4 linked regions of the Lepisosteus oculatus genome follow. The protein of the gene in region 3 purifies or fractionates together with the protein of the main gene of each other region. This does not show direct contact. Links are inferred from orthologs where the notes say so. Each region holds a gene or a part of one and is shown on either strand. Other genes may lie near its edges.

Evidence for each region.
Region 1: the proteins of ciao2b (region 3) and cdkal1 purify together in Homo sapiens (affinity purification with mass spectrometry; 3 studies listed by BioGRID and IntAct, with this or other methods). This does not show direct contact. The link is inferred for Lepisosteus oculatus from reciprocal best matches to the Homo sapiens genes CIAO2B and CDKAL1.
Region 2: the proteins of ciao2b (region 3) and mms19 purify together in Homo sapiens (affinity purification with western blotting; 11 studies listed by BioGRID and IntAct, counting the BioPlex papers as one, with this or other methods). This does not show direct contact. The link is inferred for Lepisosteus oculatus from reciprocal best matches to the Homo sapiens genes CIAO2B and MMS19.
Region 4: the proteins of ciao2b (region 3) and ercc2 purify together in Homo sapiens (affinity purification with western blotting; 3 studies listed by BioGRID and IntAct, with this or other methods). This does not show direct contact. The link is inferred for Lepisosteus oculatus from reciprocal best matches to the Homo sapiens genes CIAO2B and ERCC2.

What each region holds. Positions count from the first base shown.
Region 1 is NC_090705.1:12,658,515-12,666,571, reverse strand, and holds the start of cdkal1 (threonylcarbamoyladenosine tRNA methylthiotransferase), read right to left. Parts: upstream 3,362-8,057; 5' UTR 3,196-3,361; intron 968-3,195; 5' UTR 965-967; coding exon 807-964; intron 1-806. UniProt on the Homo sapiens protein: Catalyzes the methylthiolation of N6-threonylcarbamoyladenosine (t(6)A), leading to the formation of 2-methylthio-N6-threonylcarbamoyladenosine (ms(2)t(6)A) at position 37 in tRNAs that read codons beginning with adenine.
Region 2 is NC_090699.1:16,769,160-16,777,443, forward strand, and holds the start of mms19 (MMS19 nucleotide excision repair protein homolog), read right to left. Parts: upstream 3,005-8,284; 5' UTR 2,978-3,004; coding exon 2,887-2,977; intron 1,871-2,886; coding exon 1,822-1,870; intron 1,347-1,821; coding exon 1,246-1,346; intron 546-1,245; coding exon 460-545; intron 344-459; coding exon 269-343; intron 1-268. Other genes in the region: ubtd1b (ubiquitin domain-containing protein 1), read left to right, coding at 7,309-7,381. UniProt on the Homo sapiens protein: Key component of the cytosolic iron-sulfur protein assembly (CIA) complex, a multiprotein complex that mediates the incorporation of iron-sulfur cluster into apoproteins specifically involved in DNA metabolism and genomic integrity.
Region 3 is NC_090715.1:9,175,487-9,183,274, reverse strand, and holds ciao2b (cytosolic iron-sulfur assembly component 2B), read left to right. Parts: upstream 1-4,831; 5' UTR 4,832-4,962; coding exon 4,963-5,091; intron 5,092-5,206; coding exon 5,207-5,284; intron 5,285-5,558; coding exon 5,559-5,684; intron 5,685-5,963; coding exon 5,964-6,009; intron 6,010-6,488; coding exon 6,489-6,586; 3' UTR 6,587-6,979; downstream 6,980-7,788.
Region 4 is NC_090698.1:5,271,168-5,279,110, reverse strand, and holds the start of ercc2 (general transcription and DNA repair factor IIH helicase subunit XPD), read left to right. Parts: upstream 1-4,767; 5' UTR 4,768-4,970; coding exon 4,971-4,975; intron 4,976-5,064; coding exon 5,065-5,164; intron 5,165-5,602; coding exon 5,603-5,680; intron 5,681-5,821; coding exon 5,822-5,884; intron 5,885-5,980; coding exon 5,981-6,094; intron 6,095-6,194; coding exon 6,195-6,311; intron 6,312-7,767; coding exon 7,768-7,884; intron 7,885-7,943. Other genes in the region: cdc42 effector protein 2, read left to right, coding at 1-323. UniProt on the Homo sapiens protein: ATP-dependent 5'-3' DNA helicase. Component of the general transcription and DNA repair factor IIH (TFIIH) core complex, not absolutely essential for minimal transcription in vitro.

The sequences.
Region 1 (8,057 bases), on a different chromosome or scaffold from region 3:
TAACAAACCTTTGGACGCACAGAAACATAACTTGCTTACAAATGCTTCCACTTTACAACACAGAAAATAAGAATACCTTCAACACCAATGTAAGAACTGTGTCAAGTCACCAAATATTTTATAAGACAAATGCAAGTAAAAGACAGTGGCGTGACGAGTAATTATAGTATTTCAGTCAGATTATTCATTATTAGTATAACATAGTGGATGGTGGATAATGAACTCTGTAATCAGGTATTTTGAAAAGTAGACTCAGTTTGGATACTTCAATGAAAACAATACCAACAGCTTTAAGTCTCTGCCTGTTTCTGTGGCTTCCCAATTGATTTAAGTTGTCATTTAAAAAAAAAAACTGTTGATTCACAATTGCCTAACACATTATTTTTATTCCTATAATGCAATTCTTAAGTTTGTCTCTTTTTGTATCCTTCACATACGTGGCTTATTTAACAATAATGGAAGATTCTTTCTAAACTGTGATTTAGTTTTTTTTTCTCCACCTTTCTGACAAGTTTGTTTTTGTTTATTGGCATCAGAAGGACTTACTTTTTTGCAGACCCAGCAAGCCTCTACCTCTAGCAGCAATAATCACAATTTTGTAAAACTATACAAAAATGAATTTAAGTGTTTTAGAATCCATATTAATAACCCTGGCATATTTTCATATTTTAAGAGTTTTTTTAGCATGTTGACATGATACAAACTTGGTACAGTTACAGATGTAGTACATGCATAGAGCTGTCTTCTTACCCTCTCTGATAGGTTTCATTCATTCAGAAAACAAATTCCTTTTTCATCAACCTTACCTGTCAACAAGTAGATCTTCGGTATTTTGCTGCTGATTTCTCTTTCTGGATCTTGGCACAATGTTCTTCCTCGCAAACTGTCGATCGTGAGGCTTGGGATCGTGTGCCGATACCATATCTTCAATGTCATCCACCAGTGAATCACAAGCAGCCGGCATTGTCTTGAAAGAAAATTTAGCAGATCTCTTTAGGAAGACTAATATGGAGTTCAGTATCTAATTATTCCTAATTATCCTGGAAGGGGGTTTATAGGAGCTAGAGAAAGTGACTTCTGTTCTTCTGCTATAAGCCTATACTATGAGTCAGCCACAAACCTCATGCATGCTATGAGTGGCATACTCATTAAAAGTAATTAATGCTGAAGAACTAAACTAAAAAACACTTTGATTGACTGCTCTGTCAATCTCTCAGTTATGCTATCCAATGTAAGATCTTTGACATAAAAAGAAAAACAGTTCAATAGCAGTCTTATTTACTACATTACTTTTAGCGGGGCCTATCATATTTTGCAAGAGAGCTTGCAATGCATGTCACTGATCATGGCTTTCATACTTTAGTGGAAGGTCAAATATTTGGCACAAAATGGAGGTCTGTAAAGAGTAAGGTTAGAGGTTCACGCTTGTTAGGCTTCTTGAAGGCATGAATACGGATTTTTTCAACATACTGGGCAAAGTTCTAAAATAAGAACGGATCTGTAAAAATCACTAAGTATCAATTGGATCACACAATGGTAAATTTTCATTGTCACCGATTGTCACTTTTGTGCACTCAATGCAATCAAATTCCGTTTGTCAGAAAAAGGTCAAAACCATCCAGAACTAGCTTTGTGACATATTTGTCACTGTCAAAAGTTTCAAACATATCTTACATATACAGTTTTTTTTGGTCATTAAAAATCCCAGGGCGTTTCTCGAAAAGAGTGTAACCCCCGGCGTCCTGGCCAAATTCCCCATTGGCCCTTACCAATCATGGCCTCCTAATAATCCCCATCTATGAATTGGCTTCATTACTCTGCTCTCCTCCCCACTGATAGCTGATGTGTGGTGAGCACTCTGGCGCACTATGGCTGCCGTCGCATCATCCAGGTGGATGCTGCACATTGGTGGTGGTGGAGGGGAGTTCCCATTACCTGTAAAGCGCTTTGAGTGGAGTGTCCAGTAAAGCGCTATATAAGTGTAAGCAATTATTATTATTATTATTATTATTATTATTACTTGTTCCTTTGCAGCCTACGCATGGTGACGCAGCTACCCACCTGATCTACTATCATTTGCTATCGACCGCAACAACAGTACTGGCTTATAATTTAACACCAGGTTATATAAATCCCATTCTAGATAAGAAATGAAGCAGAGAAAAAAACATTCTTGAATATATTCCAGGGAATCAAGTCAAAGATGCAACATTGCCTCTAAAGCAAAGATGTCTAAACCTGCATCTGGAGGGCTGATGCCTCTGCAGGTTTTCAATCCTTTAACGACTTCATTCAGGACTGTTGCCTGAAATGTAACCAACTGGACTTTGGTATATGGAAAGAAAAACACTCACTGTGGGGTTTGATACATTATAATTTCCACCTGTGTGTGTTCATGGATCAAATATTAAGAACTGTTTAGCCAGAAATAAGATCAACTAAGTTAGGGAAAGGCTGTCTTGAAGCTCTGTATGTTGTAGATGCTGTTGAAACTATTTTACCAAAAATCTAAAGAATCAAGAGCAATTAAAGTCAGCAATTAGAACTAGAGATCTAAAACTCAAACTTAATGTCTTTTCATATCTTGACAGTTGCCATTTGAATGTCAAGAAGTAAAGCCTACCATTAACTAACCTTTACAGTTTTCCCTTGCAACATATTTCCATTAATAGCTTATTTAAATATTATGTTACTGATGCATTCAAGAAGCACTAGTGCTGTTTAATCAATGCAAAATATTTAACTTTTAATTTTATACATTTCTAAATTCAACCACGAATGGTGAGACAACATTACTTAAAGCCAATAAAAAACATTATAGTGCATTTTGTAAATGCAATAAAACATTTTGAAAACTGTGCGACTCTATTATATGACTAACTTTAAATCGCTAAATAAAGATTATATGATGAAGACAACCTCGTTTACGGGATTACACATAAATTATTAGGATGAAAGACTGCCAGTAGTTGTCTGTAATTGTGATACACGTGTTCTGGCCAAAAAAATAAAGAGAAAGAATAAACTAAACAACATAAAAAAGTTAAAACTGTCGAATCCCCTCTTTGAAAAGACAAAAAGTACAATTTGTGAAAAACACTGTGATTTCCAACATTTGAAAATACTCAAAGAGTTTGCTGCAAAATCAAACCAGTACACACGTGTTATTATTTATCTATAAAATATAATGCTTACCGTAAATATGATCGTTTCCAAATCTAGGAAAATATAAGTTTTTTCAACAATTCCGACGCAAACCAGTGCTTTATCTTCAGAAATTGTCACACTTTGTTAATTTTCACTCATCTTATTCGCACTTGTTTTCAAAAGGACTCCGCCATGATGGATTTCCCCTTTGACCCTTATCTACGGAACCTGAGAGAAGACAAACATCCAAAACCGAAAATCAAAATTTCGAATTACTTTCATTAATGTTATATTGACACGAATAATCTATTTATCGACGTATCATATATCTTTAAAATACCACACGCTTGCATAAAATATGGCATTAAAGAATAATCATATTGATGTAATCAAATTAAAATATTAATGTCATAAAGATTTGGTAAAAAGTCCAGTATGAAGTTTTTGTTTCAGATAAATGATCATGAATTACATGCAGCGTAGTCATGGTAGTAGTTTTTGTATTATATTTACTTTTAAAATGTTACATACTTGTAATCATTTTAGGTATCATCTTTACATTACATCCATGGATATTTGCTACCAAAATGAGCGGTCCAGGGACTATCAACGCAGTCTCATTTATGTTAAAAATAGTAACGAAAACGGACGTGCAGTACAGCACAGCAGATATTTTAAATACATAACGAGACATTTCAATTTAGATCAAATCAGATTGAGAGACAGCTATAGTTTTAACCTATACATATTTTGTACAATTTTTGAGGAGGCTCAAAATGTGAATTTGTTAAATTTACATGCATGAAGAAACAAGAACTGGACAGATTACAGGACCATTTTCAAATAAGGAGACTGAGACAACGTCATTTGTCATGTTGTACCCTTCGTTCAATTTCACAGTAAATTAATTGTCCCGGGTGATAATATACACGCTTCCTACACTTTCATAATTACTGACGTAATGTCAGTCTATATCTTTATTTGGACCCCTAAAACATTGAATTCCACTTCGAAAAAAAAAAATCTTTGGTACAATTCCATCTTCATCAACTAGCACGAGAAATAAGGCACTGAGGTGGTAATTGGAGCTCCAACACTAATGACACCTGATCCTCTTTTTGAAGCTGAGAAGAGAGATTTCTTACTGTCCTGTCGCTAACCGTGCACAGAACAAATCAAATGTGAAAAAGTATTTTAGTCATGTAAAACTACTTTGAAACAGCGAATGCAAGATATATCACAAACTTGATTGTAATCCACCCTCACAAAACTGAGTGTATTCATGCACTTTATGGATTTAAAACAGATTACTGTATAAAAAAAGGAAAATGCGATCGCGAGTATGCTCTAAGTAAGCACAGGGTCGAATTCTTGCTAAGAAGCAGAACGGAAGAGTAAAACATTAATTTCAGCATGGAATTTTGGGCACCTAAATTGATTAAGTTAAGCCACAGTAATGGGTTTGAATACTTGTATAATCGTAACTTTTCCATTTTCTTTAACAAGAATTACATTTTGTTTCCTTTTGTGTGGAGTATGTTGTGATTAAACCAAGTTAATTTCTACTTCGAAGCGTCATGTCGACAGCTATAAAGCAGCAAGATAAAGTACCATGCATGGTATTGTAGGTCAGGAACATTGAGATACATTAAAATGAAAGACGTGAAGTCTGGACTTTTGAAAACCACGGGCAAAAGCTAACATCCAGATCTCTACATTTCCAAGCAATGCCTGAGTCTCATTCTGTCTTTAAGCCATTTTAAATTCAGCCACAAACTGGATGAAGTTCTATTGGCTCTGTGGCTAAGGATCTGCGCCTGTGACTGGAAGGTTACCAGTTCAAATACCGTGGCCGGCAGAGGAATCCTACTCCGTTGGGCCCCTGAGCAAGGCCCTTAACCCCAACTGCTCCAGGGGTGCCGTACAATGGCAGACCCTGCGCTCTGACCCCAAGCTTCTCTCCCTGTCTGTGTGTCTGTGTCTCCATGGAGAAAACCTGGGGTATGTGAAAAGACAAATTCCTAATGCAAGAAATTGTATAGGGCTAATAAAGAAACATTATTATTACATTTCTAACCCTCACCTGGTTTATTCCTTACCGTGAACACAGTGCGCATTTAATACTGAGAGTGACAACTAAAAACAAATGAAACTTTTGCCAGGTCAGTTCATTTTTTTTTAGATGGGCAAGTTTTCTTGTGGTTCCATATTGATAATTAAAAGCCTTTTCCATGATGATTAACATTACTGACAGTGCTGTAAATTAATGAATATTTTAATGTGCAATTCATTAACATGGTTTTAATTGAAGGACAACTATTTAAAAGTTTTAGATCTTTTATTGCTCTTTTTCAAGTTTTGGTGAATTTCAAATCTTCACATACAAAAAAAATCACAATGGCATCAACTGGAAAGAAGAAAATGAACTATTCAAAAGAAATTTGTTTACAGAAGCAATATCAAAGCTTTTCAATGAACATAAAATACAAAGCTAGATTCCTTTAAAACATTTTACATTTTTACATATTTTCACACTTCTCTGAAAAAAAATCCAACCTCATTCATTGAGCACACAAGTACTTTCATGCACACATACAAAAAAACTTCGTTTTAAAAGCTTTAAATAATTCCTCATCTTATGTACAATTCCACTTACCTAGAAAAAAAAAAAACTTCCAGGCTTGCCCAGTCACTCATTCTGGCAGTATTTTAAATTGTGGGGAACCATTCAGTAAAACAATGTACAGTACATTTATTGCAAACTTAATTGTAAAGAGGCACATATTTTTAAATTATATAAAAGAAAACTGTTACACAGTTTAGCATGCAAGAATATCAACAGTAGCTTCACTATTCAGAACACTTCCAGAAATGCGTACCTGCTTAAGTTTTATACTAAAACCTCAATTGCAGACAGTCAGCTAGGGCACAACCAGTGGTACCAAAAACTCTTGCAGCCCTTTGAACTGAAATGGAGTAGAAGTGTACCAAATATCAATAGGGTGAAACATACAAACCATTGCATTCAAGGGTGATGCGTTTATCACCTTCCCCACATATAATCTTTGCTCATACATATCAGCTGAAACCAAAAACCAGAAAAGATTATCACATTTACAAACCATGGAAGCCATGTATAAATATATAAATATGAATTTATGCTGAACAATCTCCAAAACAGCAAATGAACCATGGGTTATCATCCTCTTCTCAATTATAGCACAGGGTTTCCTGTGTAGGTTTATACTTCAGTTACCAGTTAATTATCCGTGGAAATGATCACTTAAGGTTTAAGAACTGGAGAATGACACTTGAGAATGAAAGGCTTAAGGGTTAGCAAATGTGTACATTCAACTCCAAAGATGACATCAAAACATCATATATAGATCTGCATACATCTGGGTTTTGTTTCAAAATTGAATAGAATAAAAGGATTTTAGTAACCGATTTCATGTTTAAACCCACATACAATGATTACAACGTGCATGGAAATATGAACAGAAAGCAGCTAGCCCGGGTCATAGAACTTGGGATATTACAAGGTCAATATCGTCACACCTCTTACACACAATACATAAGTACATTTTTAATAACATGTCAGATAGGTCATCTGTGCTGTGCATTCACGTGCCCCTGCCACAGAGGAGCAGCTCTACGTTCTCACAGTGAGTTAATTCAGATATAATTATAAGAATGTAAGGAACAAAAATATAAAGCTCTGCTTTTGGCAAAGGCACAAATGTGCGATTAAAGTAATGCCACTGCACATAGTGTGACCTAACAACGTCATTGGATGATGAATCTGAAATTCTAGAAAATTAAAAAAGCTCTTATTTGGCACCACTAGGGGGCTCTTGCCCAAAGCTGTTCTAAACCTGAAAGATGATACATTATCAGATTTGTTTGTTCTTGCCATGCAGTTAAAGACCCCAATAGTGTTAAACAGGATTTACTCTATATTGCAAAAACAGCCCTCTCCTCTGGGATTTGTATAGATCAGCACATTTGGAACAGATAGGAACACTATCAAATTCCAACCCGCATCTCACGTTTTCGCACTTTTGCAAAATACCGTACTCTTCATAATGAAACTTTGACAAAATTCTTAGCCAAGGAAAAGAAAACCACCAGACTAGGTGGAAAGGTGGCATTTTCAAAATGTAGACAATTAAGATCATTTTCTTTCAGCAAGTTAAATGTAAATGCTTCCACTTTGGAAATTCATTTTTTGGTAGTTTTAATGTTTAAATTTAGTTTATGCAAAAGACTACACCCAACAATTTTATTTTCTAATATAATGCAAAATTAACTCAGTTTTGCAATCTTGAAAAATCAAAAAGAAAAAAACAGTTTTAGTGGTTAAAAGCAATGTTTTCTGCGACATGCAACATAACTTAAAACAATAACTGTTTATGATGTCCCTTTAAAAAGAGCAGAAAGCAGGCTGAAGCATTTTTAATCTGCTGTCACAACACCCTAAATACAGACTTATGGACCTAAATGCTATGCTAAGGTGAATACTCAAATTGTAATAAAAATACAATTCACTACAAAACAAAGGTTCAGAGGTAGTCTACATAAATGCACAATTGTGCATAAATTAAGTTATACTACAGTTTTAAATCCTCCCAGAATGGCTTTAAAAGAAAATAAAATCTTTAAAATCTACCCTGCAAAAAGGAACAATGTCACACAAGGATTACAATATCAATGCTATACTAATAAAATAGTATAGTATTTATACCTTTAAGGCATTTTCTTTCCTAAAATAAACCTTATAACAATCCATTTTATTAAAACACTCAGTTGATGCATGGCTTCTTGAAACTCCAGAAAAAGTATTCCTGATTCTCTACTCAAATTTTCCAAAATTGACTGGGTATTTTTAGAAACAAAAATTCAAAACAGCA
Region 2 (8,284 bases), on a different chromosome or scaffold from region 3:
TGACTGGTATATATTTTTTTCTTTTTAACAGAAGACAAGCCTTCAAAATACTAAATCTGAACTTTCTTCCATCGAGTCATTGGCGTTTATAAAAATTACCCTCCTACACATATTATACAGCTACATCTATGAAAGTTACTATTCCCATTAATAAACTAGACTGCAAGATGACCTAAACAAACTGTAAACATTTACCTGCTGTCTATTTACAGTATATACAGCACAAGGCAGACACTGACCAACAGCACTGTCTGTGTGAAGCAGCTACCTGTACATGGATGTCCTGGAAGAGAGACTTCAGGATGGACACAGCCAGACCAGGGGGCAGTGCAGGGCTCTGAGTCTTTTAAAAACACGGAGAGTCCGGAGTGAGAGTGAGCGGGTGAGAGAGCCGGACGCGAAACCAGAAGGAAAAGCTTAGCAAAGGTAGAATATGCCCCGTCCACACTGCACACCTACCAGCGCTTTAATGCCTTGTAACACGTGCGGCGTTATGACATAATGATCTTTCAGTCTGTTTTCGTAAAAGACTGTCAGGACTTCAGCTGCAAAATACAAGGACAGTGGTAGAAACCAAGCAAAATGCAAATACAAGCCAGAGATCAATAAGGACACTAGCCAGGGTACATAAGTGTTACACTGATTTAATGTACAGTATTGATCAGACATCAGAGAACCATGTTCCTACTGAGAAAGCTCTAATCCAACACTGCTGATGTTGTATAATATTCCATTCTAGGTCTTTCTTCAGATCAGACAGATTCTACTTCTATTAGCGCAGTGTTTTCTACGTAAAGAGCGCTGGATCCACTCACAGAAGGAACAGCGTGAACGTGAAACCCACCGCCCTCTCTTTTCTTCACGGTATTCTGACGGTGTTGCTGGCTTGATCCGACCAAAACTCAACACACACACACACACACACAGACAGACAGACAGACAGACAGACAGACAGACAGACAGACAGACAGACAGACAGACAGACAGACAGACAGACAGACAGACACACAGACAGACAGACACACAGACACACAGACACACAGACACACAGACACACAGACACACAGACACACAGACAGACACACAGACAGACACACAGACAGACACACAGACAGACACACACACAGACACACACACAGACACACACACAGACACACACACAGACACACACCTCTGTCTGCTCCGCAGCGCCAGCGCGGGCGTGGCGCCCCCCCCGCCCCGGCGCGCTGACCAGCGCCAACTCACCCTCCTTCTCCGAGAGGCTGCCGCAGCACTCCTGCAGCACCCACGAGAGCAGCTGCACCCCCCGCGCCCGAACCCGGGGCTCGCAGCTCGTCAGGCTCCAGCTGCGAAGAGCACACAGACAGGTCAGCTCGCTCCTGGCGGAAGGAGGAGACGGTCACGCAGCCTGCGTCCCCGGCGAGCCGCTCACAGCAATTCTCTGCAGGGCGCTTTCGGACACAGAGCCTCTGTGCCGCTCGGTGTGGATTCAAACCAGCAACTCCAGTGACACTCCACTCTACACAGCTTCTACCCGCCTCCGGAAGAATCAGCCTCTCTACAGCCTTCTTCTAGCCTGTTTTTTTCTTTGCCACCTAACTCTTTTGACAGTCTAACGAAAAATAACAATTATAAGGTTATTCAGTGCAGGGCATGTTTTGAAAAATAAATCCCTAAAAAAACAAAACAGTTGATCCTACAGGATTGACAGACAGGACTAATTAGAATGGCTGGAAACGGACATTGTGTTTACACCGTAATTATGCTAACACTGTAAATAGCGTATGAAGATGGAACGGATTAGGTAAGAGATTACTTTACCCCAAGGCCTCCACCAGTTCCAATATGGTAAACAGTCCGGTTTTCACTCCTTAGGAAACAAAAATAAAAGAGGTTAACACTGTAAGGTCAGAACGGAGCACATCAGGTTGTCCAGAGCAACAGAAGGATAGATCCCCTTGCACAGCACCCTCAGAATGCATACAAGTGTGGATAGTTGATGTGGACAATGACGTTCACAGGTCTTAAAACATGTAGGCATCAGATCTCCAAGGTATGGCTCGTGTTTATAAAGACTTTGCTCCAGCGTTAGAGCGAGACGAATTTCTGAGCCAGGAGTGGAGAGAGCTATGCAGCTTGACAATATCGAGGAGCGCACAGTACTCGACCGCTGTCCCTGATCCAAGGCACCTGGGCGGGCAGTTCTTCACAGGGGCATGTCTGTGGAAGACACTTGGATTTCAACGGGTCTGAATACATCTAACAGGAACCGTCCTATAGGCTGTTCGAATTAAGTTCCCGAATAAGGGCTCCTTTACTGAGCCACTGCGGATACCTACTCTTAGTATCCTTAGTTTAAATTAATTACATACACCTTCAGAGCGCCAGTTCTACGCCAGGATGGGCTCCTGCACCCGCTACATGTGCCAACAGGTTGCTCGTGATGAGCCGCTTGTCTCGACACAACCGGAAAGAGAGGACGTCTGAAGTCTCCCAAGAGCCGGGCGATGCACCGCTGTTTTAAAGTCAGTCCCAGTAAAAACGTGAGAAAATGTTTTCCCATGGCAAGCAAATTCTAGAACGGTCCATGCTTGTGTCGGTAGGGTGTGTTTTTACTCAAACTGTCTTCTACTGTGTACTGCCTGCGTATTGGAGACTTTCATGTTGTGCAATAAATACAGGACCATGTCAATTAGGGCTGATCTTTCTCTTCGATGTGCACTTATACCAAGGTTCATACACATCACGTTTCCTTTAAAAAGATACCCAGAATATCAGCCACACGCTTTTCTGGGCATCGGACTCTCCCATCCATAGTCGCTGCAGCCTGCAGGCTCAACGTACAGCTCACTAAGAGCCGAGACCGAGATCGATTACATCAGTTACCTGTTGCAGTCTCAGCAGCCTTGCTGTCCTGCTGGCCCGATACGAATTCCTCTACCAAACCCAGCAACACAGCTCCATTCGCGGCCATCATGCACAACCCACAAGTCAAACTCCTCTTCGCGCGCATGCGCTGCAGCTGTCGCCGAGGAAAGGCAGGGTAGAAACACCACTGTCACGTGACAAAGACCAAGGCACTGTGCAGGGTTGCTCTTGAGCAGTTTTGCCCTGTCCTCAGCGAAGTGGGCACTCCTGCTTTTGAAGCAATTAGAATGTAGCAGCTCTGAAAGTTTGCTTCAGATGTTGAGCAGATATGATCAGGAAATGTTTGAGGAAGCCTCATGTCACAATTCCAGAGAAACAAGCATCGCGGATGCTGTGTGACCCAACTTACTGACGAATTCAAATTCTGTATTGGCATGACCAATTAATTAAATTATTACCAAAGCAAATATTTACACAATTTAAAGCAACATATATTTGAAGTAGTCTACGCTCCTCAAACTGTGGTTAGAGCTCACGTACTGGCTGCAGAATCCCTTGGGTCTACTTACAGTACGATTGGAAGATCTTCTGAGTTTTGTAGGTCTGGGATTTCTATGTTCAATTTGTTTATTGGTTTTTCGGGAAGAACAAAAAATATTACATGGTACCATAAACAATAATGAACAAATGTGAACAATCATTACGGCATGACAGACTTAACCAAACTGTAAAAATCCAACAATAATATAAAAACAGTGAGGAAGGAGAAGAAAAAAGGAAACCAGAGATGTAAAAGAGGAAAAAGGGTACAGGTGAAAGGATAGGTAGGGAATACTAGGAATTGGTATCTGTGTCTATAAAATACAATATAACAATATTTCTTCTGTGTTCTGTAATCTGGAATCTTGTCAGTATTTACAGTCAAGATTCCCTTAACAAAATGGCAAGAAATCTCATGTTCTGATACATCACGAGCAATTACTGCAATAATACCAGTCACTATAGTATTAGACTTCTTACAGGGTTTATGCCCTGATGTGAAATAATGAACCCAAGAGTTTTTTTTTATATTTATCACACTCTGCATACTCTTTAGTTAAAGCACTCTTTGTTTTTATTTCTCCTATCATAGGTGAAGTTTCAGAGAAAATACGGACCACAGTATTTTCCCAGTTAATAAAGAAATCAGGAACTGTCCTGAAATCGTTCCAGGAATGTTGTCAGCAATAAAGGGGAAAGTATGAAGCAGATCTTATCTCCTGGCAAAATACATCAATTACTGCCAATAAGGAACAGCAGCTGCTTAGTGGTAATCTACCCGTACAGACCCAGTGATAGGCAATGATCAAATAGGTTAATGCAGAATGAAAATCAATGCAGCTTCCGATTGTGTTACTATTTGTATCACGTAATCAATCTTAACCAGCTCAACTTCCAGAGGACAGAGTCTCAGTCAGTACAGAACAACGCACAGCACATGGGACCTGTGCCTTAACTAGGGGGTTCGGTTTGATACTGGACAGACACGCTCACTGGGACCATACTGACCCACCCAGGGGGGATACTTGACCCAGCTGGAACTTATTCAGGGTTCTCTCAAGTTGTCCTTGATGAATTAACCCGATAACCGACTTCAGCATTACTCAAGGTTCACCGAGGTAAACTCTGACTTCATTTTTCCAGTTAACTTCAATTTAAGCCCCTTGCCAGGCCTCTGCTGTCTCTACTTCCAGAGACGTTCCAAATTGTTTGAGGAAACATCATTCCAGGAGGAAAATTACTAAGAGGTGCAATACAGGAGGGATGAGCGTCAAATCCTTCATTTATACCAGCAAAAACTACGGCGAAAGAATGCGCATCTTAATCCAGTGACCAGGAATTATGCCTCTTTATGGAAAACTAGGAGGATAAAATCTGTTGCAAAAGCAAGGAAATACACTGTAGCTGCTGCAAAAGCCAGAGAAGTCGCCTTGCAAAACTGAATCTGGAAGTTAATTATGAAATCCAATCAACTAGCTCAAGAGATAAAACAAACTATAAAAATTGTGTGAGTATGCATGCATTGGCATTACTTAACTTTCATTATTATGGTGCTGAAGTGGAGATCCACTTTAAGCCATGGTGTAATCGCACAATTTTGTTCTTGTGCAGAACTAATTTGTGCATTTACACAGCACAATGCTGGAGCACAAAGGGAGGACCTGGCAGCAGGCCAAGACAAAACCCAGGAACATCATCCACAGTGGCACTGGGGTCCTGTACACTACGGTGTGGCGGAATGCTCTTACAACGTCTTCCAATTTTATCCGACAAGAAGACGCTTGAGCAGAGTAACACTTGAAGAAGAGGAATCGGCGTCAACACCATAAAGAATGTGTTCCTTCATTCAACATTTCCAACATTTTTTAGTGTGGATCGAGTAGTATAGGTGAGGCATTCCCCTCCAGATTGCAGAAAGCCTTACGCCAGGTAAAAATGTGACCTAATTATAACCGAAAAATAAAATAACCACAGTGAAATTAGAAAAAAAAGGTATATGTTAAAAATCAGACCGAGCATTCACTGTTTCACTAGAGTTATGTTCGGCTATGATGTGCCTTTCAGAGCTGTCACCCTGTTGAGCGATGAATAGGAGGACAGTCATCAGAGAGCACTGGTGGAGGGGAAGAACTCTCTCTTCCTAAGGGTGGTAATACTGTGCTGCACGCTGAGGATACCCTCAGACAGAATCATGTACATGTTGCCAGTGTGACACCATACATCATGGATTCTGATAACATAGGAAACGATGTGATGATGGAAATTGTGCATAATATACACCTAAGTATAGCAACACCCATTGTGTGCACACACGTTTAACCTCTTTTATCGGACACGATCGATAATATTTATTGTTTTTTGTAATATTCATATTTTTAGGCTAGAATTTTATTTTTTAACTGTACATTGATGCTATGAATTGATTTTCTGATTTTAAAAAATCAGCCTGGACAGCCTCCTTGGTGCACGACACATCGCTTTACTGAAGAGTTCCGAATCACCCACACAGTAAAAAAAAATGCACCAGTCACAATAATCTCAACTACGAGAGTTTGTTTCTTGTAACGCTCAGCTACGTCCAGCAGTATTAACAATGTATGTGGTTAAGAGATATTGATTGTAAAGTATATCCTATCTATTCAAACTGTATCTTTCAGATAAAAATTATCAGCGGGCAGTAAAGGGATTTTGCGATCTCTAATCTTGATGCAAAGCTCTGTGTACTGGATCTCTGAAGAAAAGTGATGTCGTTTCTCATAGGGGGCTGAGCTGAGCCAAGCTCTTAACCACAAAGTCAGGCTAAATCTGATTTAACCTGCCTCACAGCAGGTTAAGAATGAAGGATATGTTGCTATAGTTATTTAACTTTAGACCGTTCAATCTTGCTTCGTGAAACCGAAAATCCGGATTTTTGTCATCGTGTTATCCGGTTAACTGAGAGAGCTATGAGAAACAACCCCTAGGGCAACAGTGTTTTTTTCGGGAATAAGATATTTTTTTAACATTGTTTGAGAATGAGATTTCTGTTCTCATGCATGTGATTTGATGTAATCTGCTAGAAAAAGGTGATCGATACTTATCAATAACGACACAATCAGACACCCACTTTTTGATCCGATTACAGGGATTTATTTTTGTTACGCCAGATGACAAGGACTTGCCGAGCTACTGTTTATTTATATTTCGCACACAAACACCCGCAGCCCTTTCCTGTTACCTGACACCACAGCGGTGCCAGTCACGAGACGAAATCCAACACCGGCCGGTTTCTACCCAGAGCTCCGCGCAGGGCCGCGCAGGCGCACTAGCGCCGTCTGCCACCAGGAAGGAGAAAGGGATTTAAACCTGGAGCAATCCGAGGCGACCTGGGAGAGGTTGGGGATTAGGGAGGGCAGGGAAACTGTCTAGAGAGAATTTTTTTTAAAAAAAGAAAACAACAACAACATATCTGTGGAGTTGTTTTTGTGCCACAAGAGCAGAGACGAGTTTGCTTAGCAGGCTGAGCCGGGACCGCAGAAGTGCCAGTGAAGTTACCGCCGGACTCTTGAGCCAGAAATAACTGGAGACGGGAGAGGGGGAGCCGCGTTCCCTCTCCTTAAAAATAACCCCCGAAGTGCTTCTTTCCTGCAGCGGCGGGGCCGGTGACCTCGCGAGGGCTGAAGGTTTGGCCGGTCCTGCTCCGGGGGGGTCCCTGCCGAGCCCCCCCGCTACGGCTCGCGCCTCGGAATGCTCGTGAGCTCAAACGACAACAACGGCGCCTGAGTCTCGAGCGGCGCGGTGCTCCCGCGGACGCGCACGGGGAACCCAGGGGCCGCGTCCCTTCCCGGAGGGGTCGGCGTGAACGCTTCTTCCCCCACGGCGTGGAGCTCTTTATGGGGGGTCCGGAGTAACTGACCAGTCATGGGAGGCTGCGTGGGAAGAGAGCGGGGGAGCTCGCAGGGGTCAGGCCGGAGCGGGGCGAGGAAGCGTGGAGGTAAGACACCCCCCGCCCGGGACGTGTGATCAGTTTCGCTTCCTGCGAGAGAATGTTTTGTTTAGTGTTGGAAGTTGAGCGGCTGCAGTCCACGCCGAAAAGAGGCCAGCGTCTAGTGTAGTGTAGCGGAGGGACGAGGCTTTAGAAAAGAGGCTGCTCGCAAGAGAAATTCGTCGAGTGGGGAGTTTGAGTCGACTCTTCGGAGGCCACGACCTACGCAGCGAAGTGTTTGTCAGTCATAATGATGGGGAAAAATGCCTTGCAAGCACGCCCGGTCCCTTAGCTGGTGTGGATGTGAGGTGTTCTTACATCGCCTCTAATCCGGGTCCAGTCTAACACACGGTTAGTCACGACACATCCGCAGCTTTGAGCCTGAAGGATTGCCGTGTTTCTTGTGAGCACTTTTTACAGACGAGAACTGCAACGGTGCGGGTGCAGAGCCTTGGATGTTTTCTAAGTGTGACACTCGATGCAAAAAGCAGAATATCCCTTTCCTGTCGAGACAGGGATGTCAGGGGATCCGTGTGTGACCAGTGGTTCCTCCAGGCCCTCTGTGCGACTTCCTGATGCTTTGCCCCGGCCGGGTCACAGATCCTCTGACGCTCCTTCCCCATTCAGAGCACCACTGTGCTACAGCCAGAGAACAGCACAAAGGAAACACTGTACCCTTGCACACAGCAAGCCACTTGCCCATCTAGTCGATGTGGTTCTTTATAGCTAATTAGGATTGATTAAAATCTGCATATTTATCAATTTTTCTTTAGAATTATAATAATGCCGTAATCCGGCCCTCAATCCCAGGGTACATTTTTTTAAAAATGTGATTTTCCTTGGCAAAATCTGTGCTTTTTACCGCTGAGCTTGAGGTCTCTTTCTGGACTCCCCTGTTACTAAGGGGTGAGA
Region 3 (7,788 bases):
CAAATGAGGGTACTGTACCTTCAGGCCCCTGACTTCCCAAACCATGAATGCTCCCAGTCAAGGAGAAAAAATACTGATTAAACCCACAGCAATGATTTAAAGTTTTCATATGGAAATTTCATTTTCTTTCCTGACTACCTACCTATGTACAACGTATGTATTTTGAAATGTAGGTGTTTTTTCAGAATTATGAAACGAGCAATAGCACTACACTAACCTTCTTCAAAGTAAAATAACAAACAAATACATACTGTATAGTATTCAGGAATACCACAAACAAACAAGCAGTAATCTTTCCAACCTGAGCTCAAGACAAATGGGGTCAGATAAGAACAAAGTATAGGTTACAAATGTGAGGGGAACATTTTGCTCATCTGAACCATTTAGCAGTTTTTAGCTAATTGATCCAATGGTCTCGCCAAGCCATTTCAGGAAAGGAGCCAGGGAGTCAGGCTTGTAGTCCCTCTGTTCAAAAGATTCAGTTCCTTCAGCCTGTCAGTGTAGAATATTCCCTTGAGATCCGGTCTGACATCTGGTTACTCTTCTCTGGACTGATCTCAGAGCAGCAATATCTTTTTATAACTTTGTGACTGAAATTGTACACAATATACTAAATGAGGTGCATTGTGCTATTTTAATACAACTAATCTCTTAGTTTAAATTCCCCATTTTAAACTCTATATTTAGCATTTTGTTTGACATTATCTGGAATAAATGAAGTAAATGAAAGTGTCAAAATAAACATTTAAGTCTTTTTCATAAGTAGCTCCTTCTAACTCATTTTCCATTTTATATTAATAGAGTTTTCTGTGGTCTGATACTTGCTTGTAATACTGTTGTTTGCAGCTTGAACATGAATGAAATACTCATTTTTTATATCAGCCATTTCCATTTTATTATCTTGAAGTTTACCATTATGACCCAAACACATTTGACTTTATCCTTCATGGTTCTTTTACTGTTGCAGTACTGAAAGAACAGTTTACTAATAATTGTAGCCTCTACTGAGATATTCTTTTATATCTCTTGGCCTTTTTAATATCTCCATTTACCTGTCATCAATACCGGCAACAGAAAGGTTCTTGGCTTCTATCAAAGAGAAGAATGTGTTAAATACAAGTCTGATCACAATGTGGAATGTTTACCTTTCTAGAACATCCATCAGTGCTTTTTCAGTGAGACACTTGTTTTCATTCCTGCACTTGGTGCTTTTCCAAACCACGAGGTTTAAAAACTACATCCAAGTCCAAGTCCCAGAAAAAACTTCTTGCTTGCAAACAGATCCTTATTGGAAGATGAAACAGACAATAACACATGCAAATAGTTTTAGTTTAGGAATAGAAAACTTCAGATAAAGAGAAAATAGTAACACAAATAGTAATAAATATAAAATTAAATGTAAAAGGGCTACATGATGGCCCAGTGGTTAGCATTACTGCCTCGCAGTTAAATTCTATTTTCAGTTCCTGTCCTGGGGTTCTATCTACGTGACGTTTGTATGTTCTCCCCATGTTCATGTTGGTTTCCTCTGGGATTTCCAGTTTCCACCCACTTTGGTTTCTGGCAAAATTGGCCTTGTGCCTGTGAGCCTGACCTGGGAGAAAAGTTTAGAAAATTGGATGGATGGAAAATTAAACATATGAAAATTAAACACCTGGTACTTTCCTTTGAACATTTCCTTTATAATTAACTGAATTCCCTATTGCTAGTACTACTTCGGTGTTGGTTTATAAAATTCCTGCATCCCTCCATTAGAAAGCCTCTCATCCTGGTGAGAGCTGTGGCAACCTGGAACCTATCCCACAAGCAGAGGGGGCAAGGCAAGACTGGCAGCACATGACTGCTGGCACACTGGATGGCATGCCAATCTATCACAGGCCCCTGGCAAAAGGAACAGTTTAGGTTAGACAATCAAACTGAAACAGTATATTTTAGGGAGACCAAAGGAAAACCCACATATACCCAGGGAGAAGATGCAAACTCCACACATAATGTACATCACTCTGGATCCTGTGACCCCAGAACTGTAAGGAAGCAGTGGTATCACAGTGGTGCCCCTGTGAAACCCAGTATTAATGAAGAAACACACTTTGATTATAACCTTGTGCTTGTCGTTTATTTGATTACATTAATAGAATCAAAGTGGTTCCAAGATATAAAAGGAAGTAAAGATCTGCAGTAAGGTTTCCATTTTACAGTAGTCTGAAATGAAAAACGTGTCTGTTGTTCAAGTTCACAAGAATTTAAGAAGATACACCCCCATCATCAAGACCAAACTTGATTCTACTTTTTTTTATTCCCAGAATACAAAACCTGCCTCTGCCTGAATCATCGTGTCTAAAATCTTTGGGATCAGTGGCACATCTGCTGAACACAGAACACTGGTATGTCTCTTTTTCCCTTATGTGCATTTGTATTACTTCAATCTCTGGTCTTGGGCAATTGCAACTATGAAGGATCTTTTGTGGAATGTGAAAGTGAAGTGAGATGTCTAATTTACAGACAAGTCCAAGCAAAAAATGGCCGTATTTACCATTTCCTTTGAATTGTTTTTGATACTTGTTTTCTGGCTAGGAACTGTAATGTGAAAGGACTCCTTCACCAGCTCTCTGATGGATATTTCCTAATTCTGCCTTTTCAGTACTTTTCTGCTGGGCTTACATCACACATTGTGAGTGAGTCACTCTTGCCTTTTTGTCTAGAGCATATATCAAACTATGCCTCTTTGTCCACACATACAGTATCTCGAGCCATACTGTATATACTGTACATGATTCCACTCTTGTCTGATCCATGAACAAAACTCCATATCTCCATAGATCATTCACTATCCAAAATGGTGTGAAATGGTTGCTCTAGCTGTTTCTTTAACACATCAACTTCTTACTACACTTTAGAATCTTACTTTTGAAAGAAAGCCCCAAAATAAAAAAGAATCAGCAGGTATATTATGTTTTTTAATTTGTTGTAATTTAGTGCCCAACATAGAAGCAAGTACTGCCTTCTTCAACTTTATCAACTTTATCCCAGATTATTTTTACACAAATAATCTAAAAGTAAATTGTACACAGAACAAAATAAGAATTATTTTAGTATAGACTGTTTTTTTTATTTTGGCTATATCCATCTAATTTTATTTATTTATTTGTTAATGGGATTCACTCACTTCATCATGATCCAACTCGATTCCGTTGTTTTTGATTCTCTATAATAATCAAAATCTGCCTCTGTCTGAATCATCATGCCCTGTGTCTTTGGGTTAAGAGCCACGTTGGCTGATCACAGAACTATCTCCCTTTGCTGCATACAGCATTTCCTAACATTTAAAAACCCATTATAACACCATGGCATTATAACGTGTGTAGAAACCCCAACAACTCTGAGCTTCTGCATTTGTTCTGTAAGTTTAGGAACTGTACATTAAACATAACAGAAAACAAAGATTTTAAAACCTTGACACTTGATACACCTGATACACCCTGACTGTATGTAAGTCAGACATACAATGCATGAGTATTTTTAAGGTATTAAAAGTGAAAGATGAAGACAAATGGCATGGTTGTTGCTGCTGCTCAGTTTGTCCTGGTTCTGGGGTTTTGTTCTGGACAGGAGTGTTGGTTTGTTTGTGGCTTGTTTGCCCAGTGTCAGCATAGCCTTTTTTCGGGTGCTATATTTTTCTCCTGTCCACCAATAAAATGTTAGGTAGTTTACTGGGGTTTCTAAATTGTCCTTGAGTGTGTGTTTGTGTCTGTGATGGACAGATGTGGTGTCCAGTGTGTAATCTTGTCTTGCACCCCCTGTGTCCAGGAAATATTTCAGGGCTGTTTTGATTGTGGACAAAGTCTCCCATTATCTATTTTTTTATTCCTGTCTGTGTCTGAGCATAGTAGACACCAATCCAACATACTCAGGACATTTTCAAAACCATAGAAATAACTTTCCTGAAGCACGCAGAAGCATAAAATAGCAATGTTATTGAATGTTTTGAAAACTTGCTTTATGCTGTCAATACATTCTAAAAGCTCAGGCTAAAAGCAGAACACAATTTTATGATCAGAATACTATATTTCTAGGGTTGTTAATGATTATTTTGACTAAAACCAGACATTTTTCAGTATGCCTAAACTCAAACACAGTACCACCAGCAGATGTCGGTAAAAATCAATAATCTATAAACTAGATTTCTTCATTTTTGTTTCTTAGACACAGCAGCCAGCAATTGGACTGTGATATGTACCACTTACACTTTGGTTTAAGATGGGGAATGAAGTAATTCAATTAACAAGCCTCTTTGTAATCGGATTAAAATACGAGTTTCTGTTCCAATTACGTTTATCAACATCTCTTAATCTCTTTACAGTTACTGTACAAAAATAGACTAGAAAAAAACAAGAACTCGTGCACTGGATGTCTTCAGGTTATTCAGTGCAACATGCAGAGCAAGACGTCAGTAATAAAAGAAAAGCCAATATTTAGATATTTGAGATTTATGTAAAACCCAACCCAACTTTTCAATTGGTTATAGGTTTATTGGTTTTGCGAATATCATAGTGTCGTAACAAATTATGCTAAAAAACAACACTCAACAAGTTTTTTTTTACCTAATTAGGATCCGGAGCAAAACTCAGAACGTAATACTGTATATGAGTTAAACATACAATGCACCAATATTAATAAAGTTTTGAAAGCAGGAAGAATTGGAATTAAAGACGTGCAGGCCATTCCGAAATTATCATTTAAACTGCGCAGCCGACGCAATACTGGCAATTTCCCACCCAAGGGGAGTCTAGTATTTCGCGTACATCAATACGTTTTGTCGCCTTTGAGCCACCGTAGCTCTGCAACCAATCTACAGCCGGTACAGGTCAAAGCCACACAAAAAAACCTGAGGAAAGGAATGTTTTCAAGCTGGTCTGGAAAGTAGCAGTTTCTTTTAAGAGAACAGAAAATAGAATTTCACAGATGTCCGGAGGGACTCGGTTAGAAAATGCGAACCCTCTGATCTTCCAGCGATCAGGGGAGAGGCTGCTGACGGCGGAGGAAGAGGATGAAGAAGTTGCTGATCCTATTGACGACAGAGAAATTTTCGATATCCTTGTTAATTTTATTAATGCATTCGTGCGCTTCATTTCAGCTTGTGACAGAGCATTCCATTGTGCCGTCGTTTCAGAGTTGCCGTGTTTTCTCCTTGATTTCTTTCTAACATCTCATCAGGTCGATTAATGACCCCGAACATCCGCTGTCCCTGGAAGAGTTAAACGTTGTGGAGCTAGTGAGAGTCAATGTGGGTTCCTCTGCTCTTTTACATTTGCTTGTGCTCCTATCCGCCAGACAAAACAATCTGCTACATTAGTACGGACTGTGCATTGCACGATTTTTTAAATCGTTATAATGTAAGCCAGCTGGTAAGAGTATCAAGTACAGTTACTCGCAAGAGCATTCATTTCTCACTGTAACAAAGAAAGATGGAAGACGAATGCCTTCGAAACTTAATCTACTGTTAATGAAGAGGTTGTGTAGTGGATGGATGTAAAAGGGCTACTTCCTTTACCCCACAGGTGAACGACAATGAGAGCACAGTGTCTGTGGAGTTCACTCCTACCATTCCTCACTGCAGCATGGCGACTTTGATTGGCCTGTCCATCAAAGTCAAGCTACTTAGATCGCTGCCCGACAGGTTCAAGGTGAGTCATGTAAAAGGCCCGTTTGAGTTAATATACTATTCATCCAACACTCACATGTACGTCTTATGTCGACTGCCTCATCTTGCAGGATGGTCTTCTACCGCTTTCTTTAGGTGAAGTTTTAATATGTGTGTTTCTATCAGCGTTTTCAAGTCCTGAATGAAGAGCTCGCCACCGATTTTCTTATTAATGATTTAATTACTAGAGGTGGTTGGGCGTTAGCTGTATAGGAAGTGCTACTGTTCACCTGATTGTGTAAATGTATTTTTCTCTATTAAGATCGATGTGCACATCACACCTGGTACCCATACCTCTGAACAAGCAGGTAAGAGCTTTGTATGATTCTTTCTAATATATTTTTATTTCGTTTAAATATTTAGGTTTTTTAAATGATCCAAAACCTGATGGTTCTGTCCCCAGCTCGGTCAAGCTGGGTATTTCACTGAAGCAATCTGATGGAAGTACTGTGCTCAAGGGCACAATGAAGATGTCCAACCCAGCATTTGAAACCATAACCTTACAGTTACAAGATCAGAGTGCTAACCACTACTGTACACTGCACAGTGCCATTCAGCTAGGCAGCTGTGGTTTCAAATACATTTGCAAATAGCTGACAGATTTTCCTCCTCCTGTTCATTGTGATGTGATATTGTAATTATTACTGTTCATTCAGCTCAGTCCAAAACATCTGTGTCTTCCACCAGTTCAAAACTGTCAGAAGAACATAAGTGGATACCTCTGTCAAGTTTTATTTCGTTGTGTGTTTAATCTTAATCTTATTCGCTTTATATTTTCTCTCAACAGTTAACAAACAGCTTGCAGATAAAGAAAGAGTAGCTGCAGCTCTGGAGAACTCTCATCTGCTGGAAGTGGTGAATCAGTGCCTGTCTGCTAGAGTTTAACCAGAACAGATCTTCAGAACCACAGGACAAGTTCAGCTGCTAATTTCCTACTTCTTTGTAAAATTTGTTACACCTGAATTATTTAATTAAATGTTGGATAATTGCTCTTGTATTTTTGTTGCACGGGAATGAAATGATTCATGTTTGCATTGCTGTGCAACTCCTAGAGTCAACATCAAGAATGATGTTTTTGTAAGTTAATCTTTTCTTGCAAGTTTGCCACAGGTCCTCTTCATTAAATATATTTTATATTAAATATGTTTTAACAGAAATTACTTTACCCTTTTATATAAGGATGGATGGCGGCTATATCAGTGCTTTTATTTGAAATGTAATAATGTTGCATAAAGAATAATGAAATATTAGTTGTTTAATAAATTGCTTATTCTGTAATGTTGTTTCTTTTTTATATTTCCTTCAAACTATTGAAACTGGAAAAAAAAGTCTTCTTTGAAAGCAACCAGGCATATTTTAGGATTGTGTTTGATGTTAGACAGTGGGCTGGGAGGTGAAGTGTTCCAGTGGAGATAGTCTCTCAGAGCCAGTCCACACAACATTCAGTTTACTTCATGCTCCTGCATTAGAGCTCGGCAGCTCCTTTTCCAGTGCTGAGGAAAGAAAACTGCAGTAACAACCAGACCAGAATGAAATTTGTACATTTTTGTAAAATACTTAGAAAAACCAATAATGTCCTTTTAAAAAAAATCATAAATTATTCGTTTGTTTGAAAATATTAGTCTGCTTAAGCTGATAAGAAGGCTATGTAATCATGACATTTTTTTTAACATTACATGTATATAAAACTAAACTAATCCTCGTGTTCCAGAGAGTCCTATGATTTTTATTCCACCTTTGATCTTAATCTTTAATTTAATTACGTTTTTGATTGCCTACTTTTCTAACGACAGTAGCTGCCAGTTCACAACTCCCAGCACTGTGGAATCTGCAGGACTCCCGCCCACAAGGTCTGGAGGTGACCTTCCAATGGATTCATTCATTATTTCCCCCAACCTTTCAGAACCAAATGATTTATTTATGGTATAATTAGAAATGGTTATAATTACAGAAAATGAAAGCTTACTGATCAAAGGCACCAATGATTACAATTTGTATCTTCAGATAACTATAATAACTTATATTCTCCAAGTAGCACTTTTTAAAGTATTCCAGTTTAGTGATAAAATATCTAAACTTTTAAATGC
Region 4 (7,943 bases), on a different chromosome or scaffold from region 3:
ACAGCGACCCCGAGCTCAGCCACTCGGCCTCCATCCCGGCGTTCGGCCGCCTGGTGGCGTCCTCCGGCTCCTTCTCCGAGGCGTCCTCCGAGGACTCGGTGCTGGGGGTCGGCCCGCCCCTGGACGCCAGGCGGGGGCTCAGCCTCGACTCGGACGCGGGCCTGAGCAACGAGGACCTGCAGAGCGAGCGCAGCGAGTCCCCCGGGGTCCCCAACTCCGAGTCCCTGCTGGGGCTGGACCTGGACTTGGGGCCGTCCATCCTGGAGGACGTGCTGAGGATCATGGACCAGTACAAGGCGCAGGACGGGGACTACGAGCTGTGACACCTCACCCTGGCTGCCGATTCCTTTGTCATGGACTTGATGATGAGCTACCTGCGTTACCAATAGTGTAGAAAAAACCTGAAATGCCACCGTAACCCCAGAGGTTTGAGAGGAGCAGGACACAACTAGTGACACAGATTTGATATAACTGAGGGGGGCTTCGAGGCAGATGAGGACACAATTTAAATATGCTGCCATATTCTTGTGCTCGCCAATACACGTCTGCTCCGCAGCTCTGAGAAAACCTCATGGTGGCTTTTTAACGGAACCCAGCCCCACTGTGACGCTCGGATATACTCCTCAATGTTACAAAAACAACTCCTGTGGTGTCAGCCAGCCCTGTGCGTCCGCACTCGCAAAAGCACAAGTGACACCGCGCTGCTGCTCCGTTCTGTGCTGGTGGTGCACCGCGCACACCTGATCACACCACACCACCTTCCGAGCTCCCTGCTTCTCGGCTTCAGCCAGTGAGAGGACGTGGGGCAGGCAGCACATTGAGCCCTGAGAAAGACTCTGCCCTGCTTCAGGTGCTGCCCCTGCTCACGAAATGCAACCTTACTTGTTTCTCCACAGCCAGGGGCTTGAGCGATGAAGGACAGAGAGACACAGAGACTGCGCCTGTGTGGATGAAATTACTGAAAAGACGGAAGGTGGTGGAATCAGGTGATCTTAAACACTTGTCATCTGCTAGGAATCTAAAAGAGATCCTTAAGGCGTGAGCAAGAAGTTCTCAAATGATATTTTCCTTTTCTACAAAACTAACAAAGACGTGAAATGAAAACTGAGCAATGCTACTGAGCTGTATCTAGACCGAAACTTGGAATTATTTTGTGAGTTTATTTTCATGCACATTGGTTTATTCGAATTTCCACCTTCCTTTTCTTTCAGCCTGAAAATGGCAGCAGTCTTTTTACATGAAATACAACCGATTTACTGATGTGAGAATCACGTGTACAAAAAACACCATCTCGTGGGCCTGTGTTTAAAATGTGTGTTAGTCTGTTACTCCTTGACCAGGAAACTGTGACTCCAGAGGCATGGAAAGATGACTCGCACTGCACAGCAGTTTTAATCCATTTCGGGGTGTAAAATCAAATATTGGACACATCCGTTTCAAAGTGTCAATTTATCTGTTGAGTTTCAGACAGATTAAGGTCACAATGAAACATTCTGAGTTTCTCTGTTGTTGGATTGAGTACTACAGCTTTTGCTTTGTAAAACTGGGATGTGGCTCATACTGCGATGCATTGGGAGTCTTTATTCCACCTCTGAAATATATCAAAATGTTCAATCACCTGACCATAACTGGACGATGAATCAACACAGGAAGATGGTGATTATTCTACGCACTCAGAAATCTTGCATGGACATATATACTGAAATCACTATTCAAAATAATTTATAAGGACATTTAGTGCATTTATCTCTTTAGAGGATAAGATGGGAAGTACTGTTTACAAATTCTAAAAGCTGGCATAAATATATATATTTATTTTATTGGAAGACTTTCGATAGTTTTAACAAACCGTTCACCGGTCCAGTTCAACAGTTCAACTGTGGTTGCCGAGCAGTACTACACTTGGCTCGTACGGCCATCTAGTGGAAGGAGAGGGTAGTACACCTGGTAATTGGTCGGTACCAGAAGCGGCCTGGAGAAGCGCAGCTCTCTTGCTTTTCTGAAGGTCACGAAATCGACACATTTAAAACCTGAAACGACCGAATAATCCTAAAAGCTATGCCTTAAAGCGAAGCCGGTTCATTTTCTTCATTTTTTTCTTGGCAGGACTGTGTGTTGAGACTGAGTTTTGCTACTGGGATGTGGTGACAGATGGAAAGAAATGATTTCTGTTGTAATTCTGCATTTTTTTAAATCTCCGTTAATGTTCACAATCTGTTTTGATTTCTGAATGTTTTAAGACGTGTTTCAGGCCCTGCTTGAGTTTAATACATTTTCCATCACTATTCTGGGGATTCTAATAATTGCACAGATCTAAGCACTGGGGGAGAGGTTTGATGTGCTCAGCTCAGTGGGTAATAGCATGATGAAGATGCTGATGATGACGAAGATGAGGTGTGTAAGAGTTCAGCCGGAATGCAGACCAGACGACTGCTTGGAGGAATGTGACTGGATACTGTTGCCTTTCAATGGATTGCTGGGAACTAAAATGAAACTGTCGTCTGGGAAGTAGGTATCTGCTGTGCTGTGGACTGTGCAAGGTAGATGAAGGAGAGGAGAAAGTCCAAATAAATGCGTGGAAAAAAGAAAGAGACAATCAAGGAAAAATGTTTTTTTGAAACGATGATTTTCTGTTCTGGATGGAACATTATTTCGCAGTTTGTGTTACGTTCTGATTGACATGAAGAGGAACACCATGCAAGTGACTGTTGCAGTTATTTATTCTGAAATCTTCAGCTCAAGGCAAGCGGGGCGTCTAAAGTCAGTAACATGTCGCAGCGAACATTTCTCTAGTTTCAGAAGTTGCCCTTCCTCAGCGTGGTGTGACATCTGTCTCTGTAGTACAAAATGACAACCTTTTTTAAAACAAAAAATGTTTCTATATGTATTTAGCCTCGGTATTGAGGTCAATAAATATGAATGTTAAAGCAGACGTCACTCCAAATTTGTATGTTTTTCTTGCTGTTTTTTTTTTTTGGCTTCCACATCTCTTTACCTATGTTCCCTCTTCATCTTTTGAATCAGTGAGATGATCAGATACTGGCTGTGACACAAACCACGTCTCACATTATGAGAAGATACCGCAGCTCTGGTTCAGAAGCACCAACTGTGCAAACACTAGTGAACCATGTGATATCAACAGGAGAAGACTCCTAAGCACCTATGCACCTAACGCCACACCAAGCACAAAAGAGAGCACACACAAACACATCAGGATCTGGTGCAGCTTGGCCTTGTGCATAACCCAGGGTGCAGTACATGCACTTGCCCCCTGTTTTGTCTCCTTATTCAAGCCAGGCCCTCTCGCTATTCCTGGCTCAGCACTGGGAGATGGACACCCAGAAGCCCGCCGTCCAGCGGGTCCAGGAGAGATCGCGGTGTCCTGCCCGTCTGAGTCCGGGGCTGGGAGCGCCTGGCCTCCTTACCTTCTGTACAGCTCCTCCAGCCCTGTTATTGAGCAGATCCACCTCGAGGGTCAAGGCCTGCTCCTACACTCCTCTGGTGCCTGAAATGTGGTTCAGGCTGCCCCTCCCTCCACTCTGCCGTCTCTGTGAAGAACTGGCCCTTTAAACTAAAACAATAGACAGGGTTGATTGCTTTAGGAATGAAACAGACTTCAACTAAAAAAAAATGAACCAAAGAGACGTTTTAGTGTGGCTTGACAGTGACTGGTTTAATAATCTTTTCATATCACTCTGCAACTCACAGCTGGCAGCCCACTGAAGCTCAGCAGGTGTGAGCCTGGTCAGTACCTGGATGGGAGACTCCTGGGAAAAACTAAGGTTGCTGCTGGAAGAGGTGTTAGTGGGGCCAGCAGGGGGCGCTCACCCTGTGGTCTGTGTGGGTCCTAATGTCCCAGTACAGTGACGGGGACACTATACTGTAAAAAGGCGCTGTCCTTCGGATGAGACGTAAAACCGAGGTCCTGACTCTGTGGTCATTAAAAACCCCAGGGCATTACTCGAAAAGAATAGGGGTGTTACCCCGGTGTCCTGGCCAAATTTCCCTCTGGACTTTACCACTCATGGCCTCCTAATAATCCCCATCTCTGAACTGGCTTCATCACTCTCTTCTCCTCCCACTGAGAGCTGGTGTGTGGGGAGAGGACTGGTGCACTATGGCTGCTGTCACATCATCCAGGTGGGGCTGCACACTGGTGGGGGTGGAGGGGATCCCCATTACCTGTAAAGCACTTTGTGTGGAGTGTCCAGAAAAGCACTATTTAAGTGTAAGCAATTATTTTATTTTTTTTCTAAAGAAGAGCTGCAAGCCGTGTTTCAGAAACATGTTGGTGTTAGTAAGCTTTGCAGGGTGTTCCCATACGTTCTCCAAATAAAAAAATGCAGTAATCATTTACACAAAAGTCATATTCCTAATTAAAACCTATAGGCGGATAATTCATAAAGTTTGATTATAAATCTACAAACATCAATAAATTTGTTATTATGATTTTCTAACAAGGTCTATGTTCCTTGTTTTTGTTTTACTTCAAAGTTGATTTGCTCAGTAACTGGATTTTTATAGACGGCTGGAAATTTTTCAGTCCGTGCCAACAGGGAAAGCTAGACTTCTCTGGCCTCGACTATTCAGGTCTAATATTAGCAACAAGACACAACTTTTTATATTGGTATTGATTAGTCAGGTCTAGATTTCGGGGCGCACTAACCAGGGGGCGGGGAAGAAGTGTGATTGACATCGAGATCACCCATTTAGCAACTCCTATTGCGTCTCCTCCAAAGACTAAGTGACCAATCGTGGGCGCGCTAGGAGGGATTACGTCCATCGAGGGGGATAGGTTGGGCAGTGACAGTGGAATCACACGTGAATAAACAGAAAAGCAAGAGCGGAGTTATCAACGTGCTTTTAATTTCTTTAGTATTATCTTTTGTTTATCTCTAGTATTACGATAGGCTTGTCGAGCCTACAACAGCAAGAAGAAAATCGCCCGTCGCCGGACGCAAGCCGTAACAATGAAGTGTGTACTTCTGGAGTCTCTCGCCGCAGCTGAAGGGTCGGGTAACTTGAGAGTCGGGGCGCTAAGTTTTCATCTTCTTGTTTTTGCAGGCTGAATATTGATGGCTTGCTGGTCTACTTCCCCTATGACTATATCTACCCGGAGCAGTACTCCTACATGCTGGAGCTGAAGAGAACCCTCGACGCCAAGGTAAGCTCTCCTTCTGTACCTGCAGCGCGGATGCAAGCGTCGCACCCCGGTCTTTCTCGTCTCTCCGCTGTCTGGTCGCGTCCGGCTGCTTCAGCTTTTGCGTGTTGGGTTGGAGGAGGCGGTGAGGGTGTTGGGAGATCGGCGCTCTGTAATCCCCGCGTCCATCAATCTGGCTCACTCGAACGGTATTTAAAAGTTATTTTCATAAACCGAAACGGACCCGATGGAGTCACAGTCTTTAAAGAAAAAGCAGCAACCGGAATACCTCGCGTCTGTACGTGGAATACACGGCTTCTGTGGGCTTTAGTTAGGATCCGCTGCTCTCTGGCGTGTGAATGTCGAGACTGCCCTTGCAGTGCAGCTGGGATCGGTTTGCTTTGGCGGCCAGGACGGGGGACAGCTGTGTTCATGTTCGTGTTTGACCTCGTGTCTCTGTAGGGCCACGGGGTGCTGGAGATGCCCTCGGGCACCGGCAAGACCATCTCCCTGCTGTCGCTGATCGTCGCCTACCAGCAGGTGAGTGTCTCCCCTCTCCTGGGAGGGCTGTCCTGCTGGGGCCCGATCCCTGGCGGATTGGCTCTTGTGTGCCGCTTGTGTTAACTTTGCTGGTTTGTGGTCGACACGCCTGTGTGTGTGATCCCTCTTCCTGCTCCTCAGACCTATCCCCTGGAGGTCTCCAAGCTGATCTACTGCTCCCGCACTGTGCCTGAGATCGAGAAGGTGAGTCGGAGTGGATTCAGATTTTTTGGAAACGGCCGCCGGGTTTTAAGCTGCGCTTTTCCTCACCCTGTGCCCGGCTCTCCCCCCGTGTCTCAGGTGGTCGAGGAGCTGAGGAAGCTGATGGAGTTCTACGCCAAGGAGACGGGCAGACAGAGCAACTTCCTGGCCTTGGCCCTGTCTTCCCGCAAAAACCTCTGTGTGCACCCTGAGGTCAGGACGCCTGGCCCCTGGCCCCTGCCCCCTGCCGCCTGCCCCCCCTGCCCCCTGCCCGTCCCGCTCCCCTGACTCTCCTCCTCCCTGTCCCGCCCAGGTGAGCTCGCTGCGATTCGGGAAGGAGGTGGATGGGAAGTGCCACAGCCTGACGGCCTCGTACATCCGCGCCCAGCGCCACGGCAACCCCTCCCTGCCTTCCTGCCGCTTCTACGAGGTGAGCGGGCTGGGGGGGGTGCTCAGGCTCAGGTGGGGAGAAGTAGAGAACAGTACTGAGCTGGGGGGGGGGTTATTTTCAACGGGTTTGTTAACAGGAGGAAGTCGAAGATCTCCTGCTCTCACGGGGACGCGGGGCAGAACTACGCGTCTGGGCTACGGCAGCTGGCCTGTCCTGTTCACCCTGCAGGAGTCCAGGGAAGGCGTTTGACGCAGGTGGTGGTTTGTTTTAATGCCTGAAGGCCGCACGCGCCTTGTGGTGGCGACAAATGCCCAAGGAGAGCGAAGCAGCCTCCACAGTTTCTCCACAGTTGGCCACAGAGCCGATTTGTGCAGCAGTTGACAATATCGCAGCAAAGGAACAAGTAAGAGGTTTATTCCATGCTGAAAAAAAGAAGAAGAGAAGAAAGAAAACACAACATTTCGGCCGTGGAGCCTTCTTCAAGTGTGAGCAGCTGACCATGAAGGAAGAGGAAAAGAAAAACTCCAAGTTCTCGGCGTCCATGGCCCAGTGATCGTCCCCGTTCAAGATCTGGGTTTGTGGGACATCAATCATTTAATGTTCCACAAGCCCAGGTTTCCACACACTTAGTGATACACAGAGTTCAGCCATGAGAAAGACAATAACTACTCGCAGCTGCCAGCATTTTGTTATATAGTGCTTTTTTTTTGCATGTAGCGTCTGGATCTGGGCTCTCAGGTGAATAGGAGTGAAAATGATGTAAAATGAGTGCCCAAGCTAAACCTGAAAGTTCAGTACTTATTGCTGCCATGGACTGCTAAAGAATTGCTCAGCCAAATTCTGTGTGGAGATGGTGGTGTACTCTTTAGTTTGATGTTTCATGTCTCAAGGAGAAGACTGAAGGAGGACATTGCACTTGGATGGTGGAGGGCAGGATCCCAGCCTCACAGGGCTGGCTTGGCACTCTCTGGAAGTTCATCCCTGCTGGTGCACGGGGAGATCCGGATCGAAATACGGACAGATATCTGTCCCACTGGGATAGGGATATAGACAGTGTTGGAGGATTCTCCATGCTTGCATTCACCCACTGACCCTAGGAAGCAAAGAGTGCTAGCTGCCAAAGTTCTGAATACCGCTGCATATTGCTGTCGGACAATAACTGTGATTCTGGTAGGGTCAATTCCGGACCTGGAGTGCTATCTGCATGGATTTTGTATGTTCTCCCTGTGTGCGTTTGGGTTTCCTTCAGGCACTCCAGCTTCCTCCCACAGTCCAAAGACATGCTGGATTCATTGGATTCTAGGAACTCTGGCTTTCACCCTTCACCCCCTATTTCCATAAAGTAATGTCCCTGTTCCCAGATCACCCCCATGCTGCTCTCCTGTCCCTGCACTCTGACGGTCCAGGAAGTGACTGAGACTGAAAAGGGGACAGTCGGGTTGAATTAGAACGCAAGAGGGGACTAACTTCCTGCCTCCCTTCTGTGCGTCCTCAGGAGTTTGATGCCCTTGGCCGACAGGTGCCCATTCCCGCGGGCATCTATAACCTGGATGACCTGAAGGCCTTCGGGCGCAGGAAGGGCTGGTGCCCCTACTACCTGGCCCGATACTCGGTGAGTGCCCTCTGCAGGGCTCTCGATTCCTGGCGCGTGCCGGCTCTCTGGTGATAATG